Drosophila melanogaster: one gene and its partner. The protein of the gene in region 1 purifies or fractionates together with the protein of each later gene. This does not show direct contact. Each region holds a gene or a part of one and is shown in the gene's direction. Other genes may lie near its edges.

The links.
Region 2: the proteins of trn (region 1) and Ten-m purify together in Drosophila melanogaster (affinity purification with western blotting; one study listed by BioGRID). This does not show direct contact.

Annotation. Positions count from the first base shown.
Region 1 is NT_037436.4:13,112,483-13,118,700, forward strand, and holds trn (tartan), read left to right. Parts: upstream 1-1,788; 5' UTR 1,789-2,264; intron 2,265-2,706; 5' UTR 2,707-2,815; coding exon 2,816-5,029; coding exon of another isoform or gene 5,030-5,071; 3' UTR 5,072-5,595; downstream 5,596-6,218.
Region 2 is NT_037436.4:22,404,838-22,410,053, reverse strand, and holds the start of Ten-m (tenascin major), read left to right. Parts: upstream 1-2,190; 5' UTR 2,191-2,861; coding exon 2,862-3,162; intron 3,163-5,216. UniProt on the Drosophila melanogaster protein: Involved in neural development, regulating the establishment of proper connectivity within the nervous system. Acts as a homophilic and heterophilic synaptic cell adhesion molecule that drives synapse assembly.

The DNA of each region.
Region 1 (6,218 bases):
GTGCAGCAATCACTGTGTGTTTCGTATCTGGTTTTTGAAAGGAAACTACGCAGTCTTTACCTATGTAGAGCACTTTGGCAGTTTACAAGCCAAAGATACTTTTCTTACAAGCCGCTGTTATGGCAATTTGTTTGCATTTCCTGCATTTGTATTCAAGTTTATTATTATACTTCGCCAAAGCCTTTCTCTAAGAAGTCAGCAAAACTGTTTAATTTCTTGAAACAGATCTTTAAAGGCCTGCAATTTTATGAATGTTTCATCAAAGAGCAAATGTAAGGTTTTAGTATGAGAACCAATAGTTGGTTTATTATTCAAAATAGGTTGTGTACCCCATTTAATAATGTAGAAATTGAACCAACAATTTAATTTAGATTTCAGTTCAGCAAAAGAGTAGAAACGAAAAAAATGTTTGCCAACAAAGTTAGGCAAATCAAATTTTTTTACTTTAAATAAATTGTAAAGACGAGTTTTGAAATACATGTTTAAAGGCTAAATTTATCTCTCTTGGCAACGAAAATTTTCCAAAACTACTTCTGTCATAAATTATGTATATGTATTTATTTTCTCTCAAAGGCAACAAATCAAATTCATAAAATCCTATGGTCAAGCAACTATTAACAGTTGCCTTGGCTTTCAATACGCAAAGATGCCTCAAATTTGGGTAATATGGTATAAATTTAACAAGTTTACTTATTGGTTAGTTTATGAAAGATACAGAAAAGCAGTCGAAAAAGATTTGCATCTCGGTACGATAAATAAATTTTGTGTGCGAAATTCTCGGAGACGGAAATATGCCAGTTATGTCGGTGGGGCAGGGGGGCTTGGCTGTGGAAAATGTGGAGGAAAACCGCATGCCGTAAGGCCCGGAAAATGTGCCCCACCCCGGTCCCCTCTGATCCAGCAACATATGTTGGCACAAAGTTATGGCCATTTAAAGTTGATTTTCTTGTTGTCACAGTTGTTTTTTTCCCGTTCTTTTTTTTGTGATTTTGCCGAGTTGTAAATAGTTGTTTGCTCTGCATGCCAAGAATGAGAAATGCATCTCAAATGTATCAGATGACACAATATTTTTTGAGAAATACTCGAGTGCAACACTTTCGTGTCCTCGAGATACAAACTCGCAGATACAAAAATATCAATTTCAAGTGCGTCACATTTGGACTGTAAACCGCACTAAAAGGCTCCACTTAGGCCAGGACATGTCTGCGGCCCATAAATATCCATCTAGCTCCTATTCTGCGTAGGACTATGTACTTTTTATGGGGTCTTAATTATGCCACAGCACTTGGGCTGTTTTAGTTTTCTCTTCAGTTTTGTTTTTTTTTTACTTTTTTCGTTGACTATTTCAGTTCTAGTTTTAGGTTTTATGGGCGACAGCATTTCGTCGAGGACGTGCGGCTCGTTCAACGTGTGAGTTGCAATTGTCGGAGAGCGAGCCTGGATATATGGGGCACGTATAGCCAGATAAATGAGTGGAAACTTCGAGTGAAACTCGCCACACTGAGTTCTCCATCGAGAGAGACAACTAGAGATACATTTGTATCCGACACTCACAACCAGTTCCGACTACCTGCTGGCGGGTTTATCTGAGAGAACTCGCCTTCGCAAGGCCGTCTCGCCTCAGCCACGCCGCTCTTTTTACCCATGTCCGATGCAGCTGCCAGCCACCACCACCACCACCACCATCTCATACCGCTCAAACGGCTCTGTTACCGCTCTGTACCGCTCAACCACCCCGGCAAAAGTGGCCAGCCGAGGTATCGTTTGTGCAGCAGGCACTTCGTAAAATCAGTGTAGTTCGTTGCCTCGTCGTGAGCGGTTGTCTGCCAGCTATAGAGACCCAATTGCGACCAAGTTCCTCTCTCTTACCAGAGTTGGTAACACGAAATACGTAAATTCAAACGGAAACCCGTCGAACGCCTAACAACAACTTGAAGCGTGCAGTCAAAGCGAACCATTGGATTATCGCGCACGTTTCACAAACAATCAGCAAACAAAAAAAAAAAAAACGAAACAAGCAATACAACAAACCAAAATTTTAATTTTGAACAACACACATGTTTTAGTTGAGCAAATGTGACAAAACAAAAAATTGGCTATTCAAAATATTTTTCCAAAAGTGAAACAGTGAAAACGCAAACACATCACAAAATACAAACAAAAACCGAAACACTGCATTTTGCATTTTATGTTCTGTTCACCAACGATTTAATCTGCTGAAAACTAAAAATTGTTGCCAAGCAATCATCAAAGAAAAACATTAGGTAAGTTTCACTTGTGGCATACAATGTGCATTTTATAAAAGTGCTGAAAAAGTGGAATATTGTGGAAATTAGAATACCGGAAGAAAAGTTTCAACAAAATAAAGTTAGGCTGCCAGAAAATATAAAATACGAAAAATATAATTGGAACATTTTAATTTTGTTCAGTTAAATTACTGACTTTAAATATTTATTGAGTTTGAAATTTCTAAAATGAGAATTTATTAGGACCGAAACATTAGCAACTTAATATAGATTTTTCCAACACCAAATCTAAAAATATATCCAATATGAAATACTTGTGAAAACATAAAAATGTTTGCTTCAAGAACCCTGTAAATTTTAATCAATAGAAATAGTTCCACGAAAATAGGCTAATTAACCGAACTCACAGAAAAGACAGAAACTAATTTTGAAAATTTTTCCCTCGTTTGTCTACCCGCAGCACTATGGAAAACTGAAAAAATCAACAGAAACTCTGAAAGAATTGAAACAGCAGCACAGAGCGAAGCAAACCGAAAGACAGAAATCAAAAGAGAATCAGAGATCCCAAGATGCAGCGAAACATGATGATCGCCTTCGTGGGCATCTGGTGCATTTTGGCCAGCATTGGTGTGGAGCCTGCGGCGGGCTTGGCCAATTGCCCGCCCGGCTGTCAGTGCGATGATAATACCCTGGTGGTACAATGTGGCGAGGGCCAGCTGGACGTGCTGCCCATTGCTCTGAATCCATCCATCCAGCGACTGGTGATTAAGAGCAACAAGATCAAGACCATCGACTCGTCCATCCAGTTCTACGCGGAGCTGACCTTCCTCGATCTGTCCTCGAATCACCTGATGACCATTCCGCAGCGCACCTTCGCCTATCAGAAGAAGCTGCAGGAGGTGCATCTGAATCACAACAAGATTGGGCAGATCAGCAATAAGACCTTCATTGGTCTGTCGGCAGTTACTGTTCTGAATCTGCGTGGTAACCAAATCTCGGAACTTCACCAGGGCACCTTTACTCCTCTCCTGAAGATCGAGGAGCTGAATCTGGGCGAGAATCGCATCGGCTATCTGGATCCCAAGGCTTTCGATGGACTCTCCCAGTTGCGCATCCTTTATCTGGATGATAATGCCTTGACCACCGTTCCCGATCCCGTGATCTTCCAAGCCATGCCCAGTCTGGCTGAGCTGTTCCTTGGAATGAACACCCTGCAGAGCATTCAGGCTGATGCCTTCCAGGACCTGAAAGGACTTACTCGCCTGGAACTCAAGGGTGCCAGTCTACGCAACATCTCCCACGACAGCTTCCTCGGCTTGCAGGAGTTGCGCATTCTTGATCTTTCCGATAATCGTCTGGATCGCATTCCCTCCGTGGGTCTCAGCAAGCTGGTTCGTCTGGAGCAGCTGTCCCTGGGTCAAAACGATTTCGAGGTGATCAGCGAAGGCGCATTCATGGGCCTGAAGCAACTTAAACGCCTGGAGGTGAATGGAGCTCTTAGGCTGAAGCGTGTGATGACCGGAGCCTTCAGCGACAATGGTAACCTGGAGTATCTGAATCTATCGTCCAACAAAATGCTTTTGGAGGTTCAAGAAGGTGCCCTCAGTGGGCTGTCCCAATTGAAGCATGTTGTTCTCAAGGCCAATGCGCTGACTTCCTTGGCAGAAGGTCTGTTCCCGTGGAAGGATCTTCAGACTCTGGACCTTTCCGAAAATCCCTTGTCCTGCGACTGCCGTGTGATGTGGCTGCACAATCTGCTGGTGGCCAAGAATGCCAGTCAGGATGATGTCTCCGAACTGCTGTGTGAGTTCCCCGAACGTCTGCGCGGTGAATCCTTGCGCCATTTGAATCCTGCTATGATGGGATGCACACATGCCGATCCTCGCAAGCAGGCCTTGATTGGAGCTCTCCTGGTGGGATCTGCTGCCACGATTACCGCCTTGGCTTTGGTTCTGTACCGCTGCCGTCATAAGATCCGCGAAACCATCAAGGGCGGTCTGTGGGGTAACTCGGCTCTGGGCCGTAAGGAACGGGAATACCAGAAGACCTTCTGCGACGAGGACTACATGTCGCGCCATCAGCATCATCCCTGCTCCCTGGGCATCCACTCCACGTTCCCCAACACCTATACCGCACCTCATCATCCCGGAGCTACCCATCACTATGGAATGTGCCCGATGCCTGTCAATGACCTGGGCGCCATCGATCCCCAGCAGAAGTTCCAACAGTTGGTAGTGCCCACCGCCACAATGATCAGTGAGAAGAAGCTGAATAACAACAAGGCCCTGGTTTCACAGGGAGCCATCGACGACAGTGCCTCATTTGTGCTGCACATGAAGTCGGCCACCATGGGTCGGGATGTGCATCAGCAGAATCCCCAGCTGAACCACTATACCAAGCCGCAGTTCCTCTCGGCCACGGCTACAGTTGGTGATTCCTGCTACTCATACGCGGATGTGCCCATGGTGCATGGCGCCCCGTTGGGTGGACCGAATCAGCCGCAACTGCGACTGACCCAAGAGCACTTCAAGCAGCGTGAGCTATACGATCAGGAGATGGGCAGCGAGATCCTGGACCACAACTACATCTACAGCAATACCCACTACTCGATGCCGTTGGAGCAACTGGGTCGCAGCAAGACGCCCACGCCGCCACCGATGCCACCAGCTTTGCCCCTGCGGAATGGACTGTGTGCCACCACAGGACGCAGATCCTTCCAGCAGAAGTCCGCCTCTCAGAAGCAGCAGCAGAACAACAACACCCTGCGTCAGTTCACGCACTGATCCTCGACCTATCGACGCAGGCAGCTGAGCATCTATGCTTAGTAGTCCGCTGCCCAACACTGTGATGCCAAAACCCCCAAGAAGCCCACTAAAACCACTCACTCCCCTCCAGACACAATTAGCGTGTAGTTAGGCGTAAGGAAAACATTGTAGTAGCTGTAATCGAAATACAACCTAGGCATTAAGTCAGAGAAAATCTTGCCTTGTACATACTTAACTTTAAAGCACTCTTTCGAACCTATAGAACACTGAAGGATCTCCAATTCTATCAGCACTTTGCCAACACTACTGTTTTCCTCGTCCCCCTCCGAACATAAGTTAATCGTAGTCTTTAAGATGAATTGTAAATGATATACGAGTTTAGATAAAGACAACAAGCACTGAGAGTCAACGTAAGCTTAATTTTAACTTATTTAATTTATTGTTAAATGCAAAATCGTATCAGATGCAAACAACTATTTATGTATTAGTTAGAACAAGAAATTTATGCAAATTTAAGCGACAAAACAAAATATCAAACGAAAACAGAAAATATACGCAATGAAAACAAAACTCATTTGAAAACTAAAAAATACAACTGTGTGTGTTCATTCTGCTCTTAATTTAGCAGATTTTCCTTTCAGCCAGCATACTGCCGTGGAAATTTGCCTTTAATTATACATTTTCCCTGTGCACCGGCAACTTTTCCTCTGTGTCAATTTGTCTCGACATTTTCACTTTTTTTTCCACGAGCTCAAAACTTTTGACTTTCAATTCAATTAAAAGTAAGTTGAGGGCTTGCATACCGTGCTCGGGGGAATAAAAAATGCAGTAAAATTAATATACTATTATTCAATAGTAACAAGCTTGAAAACTTTTGCAGACCCGACTCAAGCAGAGCGTGGCAAGTGGGGAAGAGGTATAATTTTCAATTCAATGTGCATGGAAACACATGTGTAACTACTACCATATACAAATATATATGTATAAGTGTATATATGGGTACAGCCACCCCTTCATTGTCACCTGCAATGCAGCTGCCACCTGGCGGACCAGAAAGTTGCCAACTCACCGTCGAAGTTTGCCCCTGGGAACCCTCAAGAACCCTATTTTTCGTTGGTTTTCTCTTTTCGCTCAATTTCAAGCCAAATCGAAACCTATTTAGACAATTACGAAAATAGAAATCATTTCAGAACTTCCAGCGAGCAAT
Region 2 (5,216 bases), 9.3 Mb from region 1:
GGGACTGCACAAGTAATTGCTAAAATTAAAGCAACTAGTACAAGCATAACAAACGGAGGAAGTTACAGTGGCCGGAATAGAAATTTGACACTTTATCCGGTTTGTGAAGTCCCTCAACGCTGCTTAAGCCACCAAAAAACTATCACATTCTACTGTTGAAATTCGCTGTTCTTTGGGGAATCGTAGATGCTGCTTATAATAGTTACAAGCTAGTATAATTAAAAAAAAGGTATAAAAAGGTAGACACAGCCAATGAATTAAGCCATTTTTGAGTTATTTTTGAATGTTAACCCAAATGGTTCAACTTCAAAAAACTGCAAAGGTTTAATCCATTGCCCCTTAATTAAATATATGCACAACAAGCCAAGAATGTTTGTTCCTGTACGAAGACTCAGATCGAAACCTACGACAACTAGCCAAATCAGAAGTCACATTCCCCCTCGGAATCCACATCCTCCTGATAATATTCAATGTGTCAAGTGCAGGCGAGCAACGCTTCTCTCCCTTTCTTGAATGATGCTCAAACATTTTTGCATACAACAGGAAATTGATTTTTCATCGACAGCAAAGAAAATCGGGAAAGCAAGACTCCATATCCTATGCAAATACTTTCAGACTACAAAAAAATTTGCGTCACGCGGCGTTGCCACATTGCGAGACTCGGAAAAGAAATGACAATTTCTCCGGCATCTCTTCTTCTTCCCCGCCGTATCCTTCTCGTGCTGGGAAAGCTGTCAAAAAAGCTTCAGCAACAACTTCCGCTACATGGCAGAGAATTGCCTGCACGACGGGCTAGGGGGCGGTCGGTGGAGGCGGCAGGATGAGACCTGCGTTCAAAAGTTAAGCCATTAGCGAAATGTCCTTTACTTTGCTTATAACGCAATTTTCTGCTTCTTTTCTCGGCCATGGCCCCCTCATCACCTACCCACCCCACGCTGGCCACCATTGTTTGTTTCGGACACTTTTTGGCCAGGTCCGCTCGGTTCTGGCTTGGGTGCTGAATGACAACTTCACTTGTCAGCGATTTGAAACTTTTTCGCCTCCCCTCGCCGCCACTGACTAACTTTTCTAGCGCTAATGAAGTCTGAGGATATTTTTTGGCTGCGTGAAAATGCTCCACAGAATCTGACAGCATAATTAGTAAATGAAAAACTGTTTTGTGTAATTCCCAGGCCACAGGAGGTTCAGATACCTTGAAATACAAATTCCATTGTTTTTAAAAATGTAGTTTTTAATATTTTTGTGTAACCTGCAATTTATTCAATGCAAGCTGAAAGTTAAAAGTTTTCGGAGGTTTTGGAAAACCTAGATATTTTAGGGCAATATATAAAGAGAATATATAATATATATATAATAATAAATAATATATATTATATAATATATAATATATATAATAAAGAATAAACTAAGCTATCTTTTAAAGTTTGTACCTAATAACTTAAATACCTCCACATTTACATTGATATTTTATGGTATATGGTATATGGTATACGTATACGCACTTTTATGTAAACCGGTTAACAGTTTTGTAATAAAATTAACAGTGTCGGTGTTAGCCGCCGGTGAAGCTGTTATTACAGCGCTGTTGGCCGCCTCAGATAATCTTAACGAAACTGGCGTGCAGCACGATAGATTCGAATCCGCTGTACATCCATTTCCCCTTAGCCAAACGAAACGCACTTTTTAACCTTCAAACCAGAGATTCGATGAGTGCTCTCATTTGAGTGCTGCATACTCTTCTGGTTATAAAAAGGCTAAACATACCATTGAGAACAAATATTGATGGTAACTTAACAGAAGCACAAGAGTATTAAAAGTATATTATTATATTTCCTTGCATATCTTTTTCTATAACGCTGTCATAGACTGGAAATCTATATGATTCGGAGTGATTCTTTTGCAATTAAATTAACCTAAACTACATAAGTAGCACCTATTATTCTAGCAAAATAGCTATATTTCCAGCTAAGGCCAGACTATCAGCAAATTAGCTAAATGGACAACGCTGGTGCGCGACCGCTCTCTCTCTCACAAATCATGCGCAGTATCAGAATAAATGAGAGAGCGACGCATTTTAACTGAAAAAGAGAGAATATGAAGCATATTGTTTTTCTCTCATATTTGCAGCGACTTGCGCTCTCTAGCTCTCTCTCTCTCTCCCACAGACTCGGTTCGTCGTTCGTTTTGAGCTCATTCGTCTTTTGAAATTCGCCTCGCACGGTCGGAATTGTCGTCGCGGAAAATGTGGATATACGAAAAGTAGCGAAAACAGCGCGTTGCTTCAGTCGAAAAATATAGAAAATCGTCGGGAATCAGGCAGCGAATGATACCTGCGTCTAACGAATTCTGACATAGTTTTACGATCGTCGCGCAAACAAACACACCGCGTCAATTCAAAAACACCGTTTTTCCCGTCGCGTTCCTGTGCTCCCCATCGTGTGTGTCCCGTGTTTTCAGTGTACGACTACTGAAAAGGCCCAAGAAATATTATTGCGGCCTCGGCGGCAGATTGTGATTGAGCTGGGACCAGCAGCCCGCCCGCAGATTAACCGTCTGGAAATGGCCCAGTAGAAATGTTTTTGAGTGCAGTGCGTCCAGTGCCATCCGCAGCCGCATCCGCATCAGCAAGTGCATGAATAATCGCGAGTAGCCAAACGCATACCAAGTCTCTTCTTCCTGCTCCCGTGCGGAGTCCTCCTCCTCTTCTTCTTCTCCTGTCCGGCTGTCTGGCCAAAAGCCCCCAAGCCGCCAAGATTAAGTTCTCAAAGCAGCACGCCCATCACGCGTACCGCCACACGGACAACATCTACGACGGCGGCACGGACACGGACGACGACGAATGTCCGCTGGAGGCGACCGCCATGAATCCCTACGAGTATGAGTCGACTCTAGACTGCCGCGACGTGGGCGGCGGCCCCACTCCGGCTCACGCCCACCCACACGCCCAAGGACGTACGCTCCCCATGAGCGGCCACGGGCGGCCGACGACGGACCTCGGTCCGGTCCACGGCAGCCAGACGCTCCAGCACCAAAACCAACAGAACCTGCAGGCCGCCCAAGCCGCCGCCCAGTCGTCCCACTACGACTACGAGTACCAGCACTTGGCCCACCGTCCGCCGGACACGGCCAACAACACAGCGCAGCGGACACACGGAAGACAAGGTGAGTGAGTATGCCGACCCCAGTGGGCAGTGTGGTCAGTGGAATCAAACCGAAAGCTACAACTCCGGAATTTAGTGGCCCAAATAGAGCGTCTGGAAGTGATTTAAAAAAGTTTAGGATGTGCGGAAATACTTTACAATGCATAAATTGGATTAAATGAATTTGTAACTTAAATTATGTTTGGAAATCAGTGAAAAATATAAAAGCGTTTCTGATAAGAGTACCATGCTGCTTAAACATACTGAGATCCGTTTTCCATCGCTTTCGTATACATCACCGAATTCTTTGACAGACGTGCCTAAATCAAATGAGCTAATTGATATCAATATTTTAAGAAAATGGAGAACATTTGGTTATTAGCTACGTACGTTGAGAGAGGATAGACTGGTTCTAAAACCATTCATTGCTACTTGGCATTTGTGTATTTTTAGTATTAGTCAAAAAGTTAAAAGCAAATTATGTATGTGCAAAAGGATTCCAATGTTTCTCAAACGCAATTCAAGTGAGCTACCGTGTCATCTGCTAGTTACAGAAATTATTCCTTTTTTCGGTGACAAAATCGTGCGGGTTGCGAATTCCAGCAAGTTGCGACAAGTTTGAACAAATTACGCCCCTTATCGGCGAATGCGGCCAAACATTTTGCCTAAATTAAACAAATTAAGGCGGCAGTCCCAATGGGAGTGGGATTTGGACTTCGCCTGACATTGAGCCCGCTCTTGTTTCGCATTTCATAATTTCCCTTTTTCCGACTGAGCGCGTTTTTTCACGATTTGTCTGATTAATAAAGCGAGAGCCACAATAGCCAGCGCACAAAGCGCAGTTGAAAAGGATACTCTCTGTCAGCCGACAGGAATTAGGGGGAATCCCAGACGATGTCCCCGCTCTGTGAAAAAATGCCTGCGGCTGGAAAATGCTCGAGACTTCTGAGAGGAGTTGGGTTACAGTAGCCTGCCTGATTGTACACTGACAGAAATCAGGGCACTAAGTTATGTTGATATAGATTTTGAATGAAAATCGTAGTTACTTGGATACCCTCTTAATATGAGAACAGAATTTTAGATTCTTTACTTTTAACTATTGTTTTGATGACAATAGTTCACGTATTTAACTCTAGATTATGTTAGTTCGCTGCTATTATCGATTTCAGCCAGCCTCCTCGTAGCGTCTTCATGGCCACTCCCAGACCTATCCAATATTTTCGATCCCTGGACCTCGACCACGAGCAACCTAAACACAAATACATGCTCCGACATGCTTCAGTTTTATTATTTCCGACTCTGCTTCTTGGCATTTGAACTTACACATAATGCGGACTTACATAACTTTATTTCTGGCATTTCCCTTTTGAGCTCCGGTGCCCATTTTCCGCTCCTCATCTTCTTCATCCTCATCGAAGCCATCCCACCGCAGCCGCGCTTGCTCTTCTCCTGCCTTTCAGCGTTTTTGTGGTGTTATAAAAACAATTGCCAAACAATTGGAGCTTTGAAACGAAATAAAAATCAAATGGAAATCGAACCTGGAGCACACGAACGTGTGGGTGTTTGGGTTGGGCTACCTGGCAGCGGCGAAAGAATTGTAAATTTACAGCAACAAATAAATTTCGTAACTGGCAAACAATAAATTCCTGAGACCCGAAGACTTTTGCAGAATTTCTTTTCAGCTTTGGCGCAAGAAATGAAATTGAATAAAGTGGGCCAGGGGGGTGCGATTGGGGCGGGGCGGAGCTCGTAAATTTTCAACACTTCACCAGGCAGCAGCTTTTCCCGCCTTCCTGCTCCCCAGTGCCTGTCATAAAATTGCCAAAAAGCCAAAACAGGAAAGACGGAGAAGCAGCGGAAAATTCTTTGCCTCCCCCACTTTGAAGCTGTGTTGATGTGTGAAAATCCGCTCGAAGCTGAAGCACCGAAATTTCAATGTCTCAATGCTTTATTTGTCGGCCTGCCAATTAGCCAAATTAGGTCGAAAAAATCGGCCACTTTGCATTATTAAAAGCCAACCGCAGCCAGGTTCGAGTCCAACTCCAGATGGCCTCCAAATCCAATCACAAGCCCCGC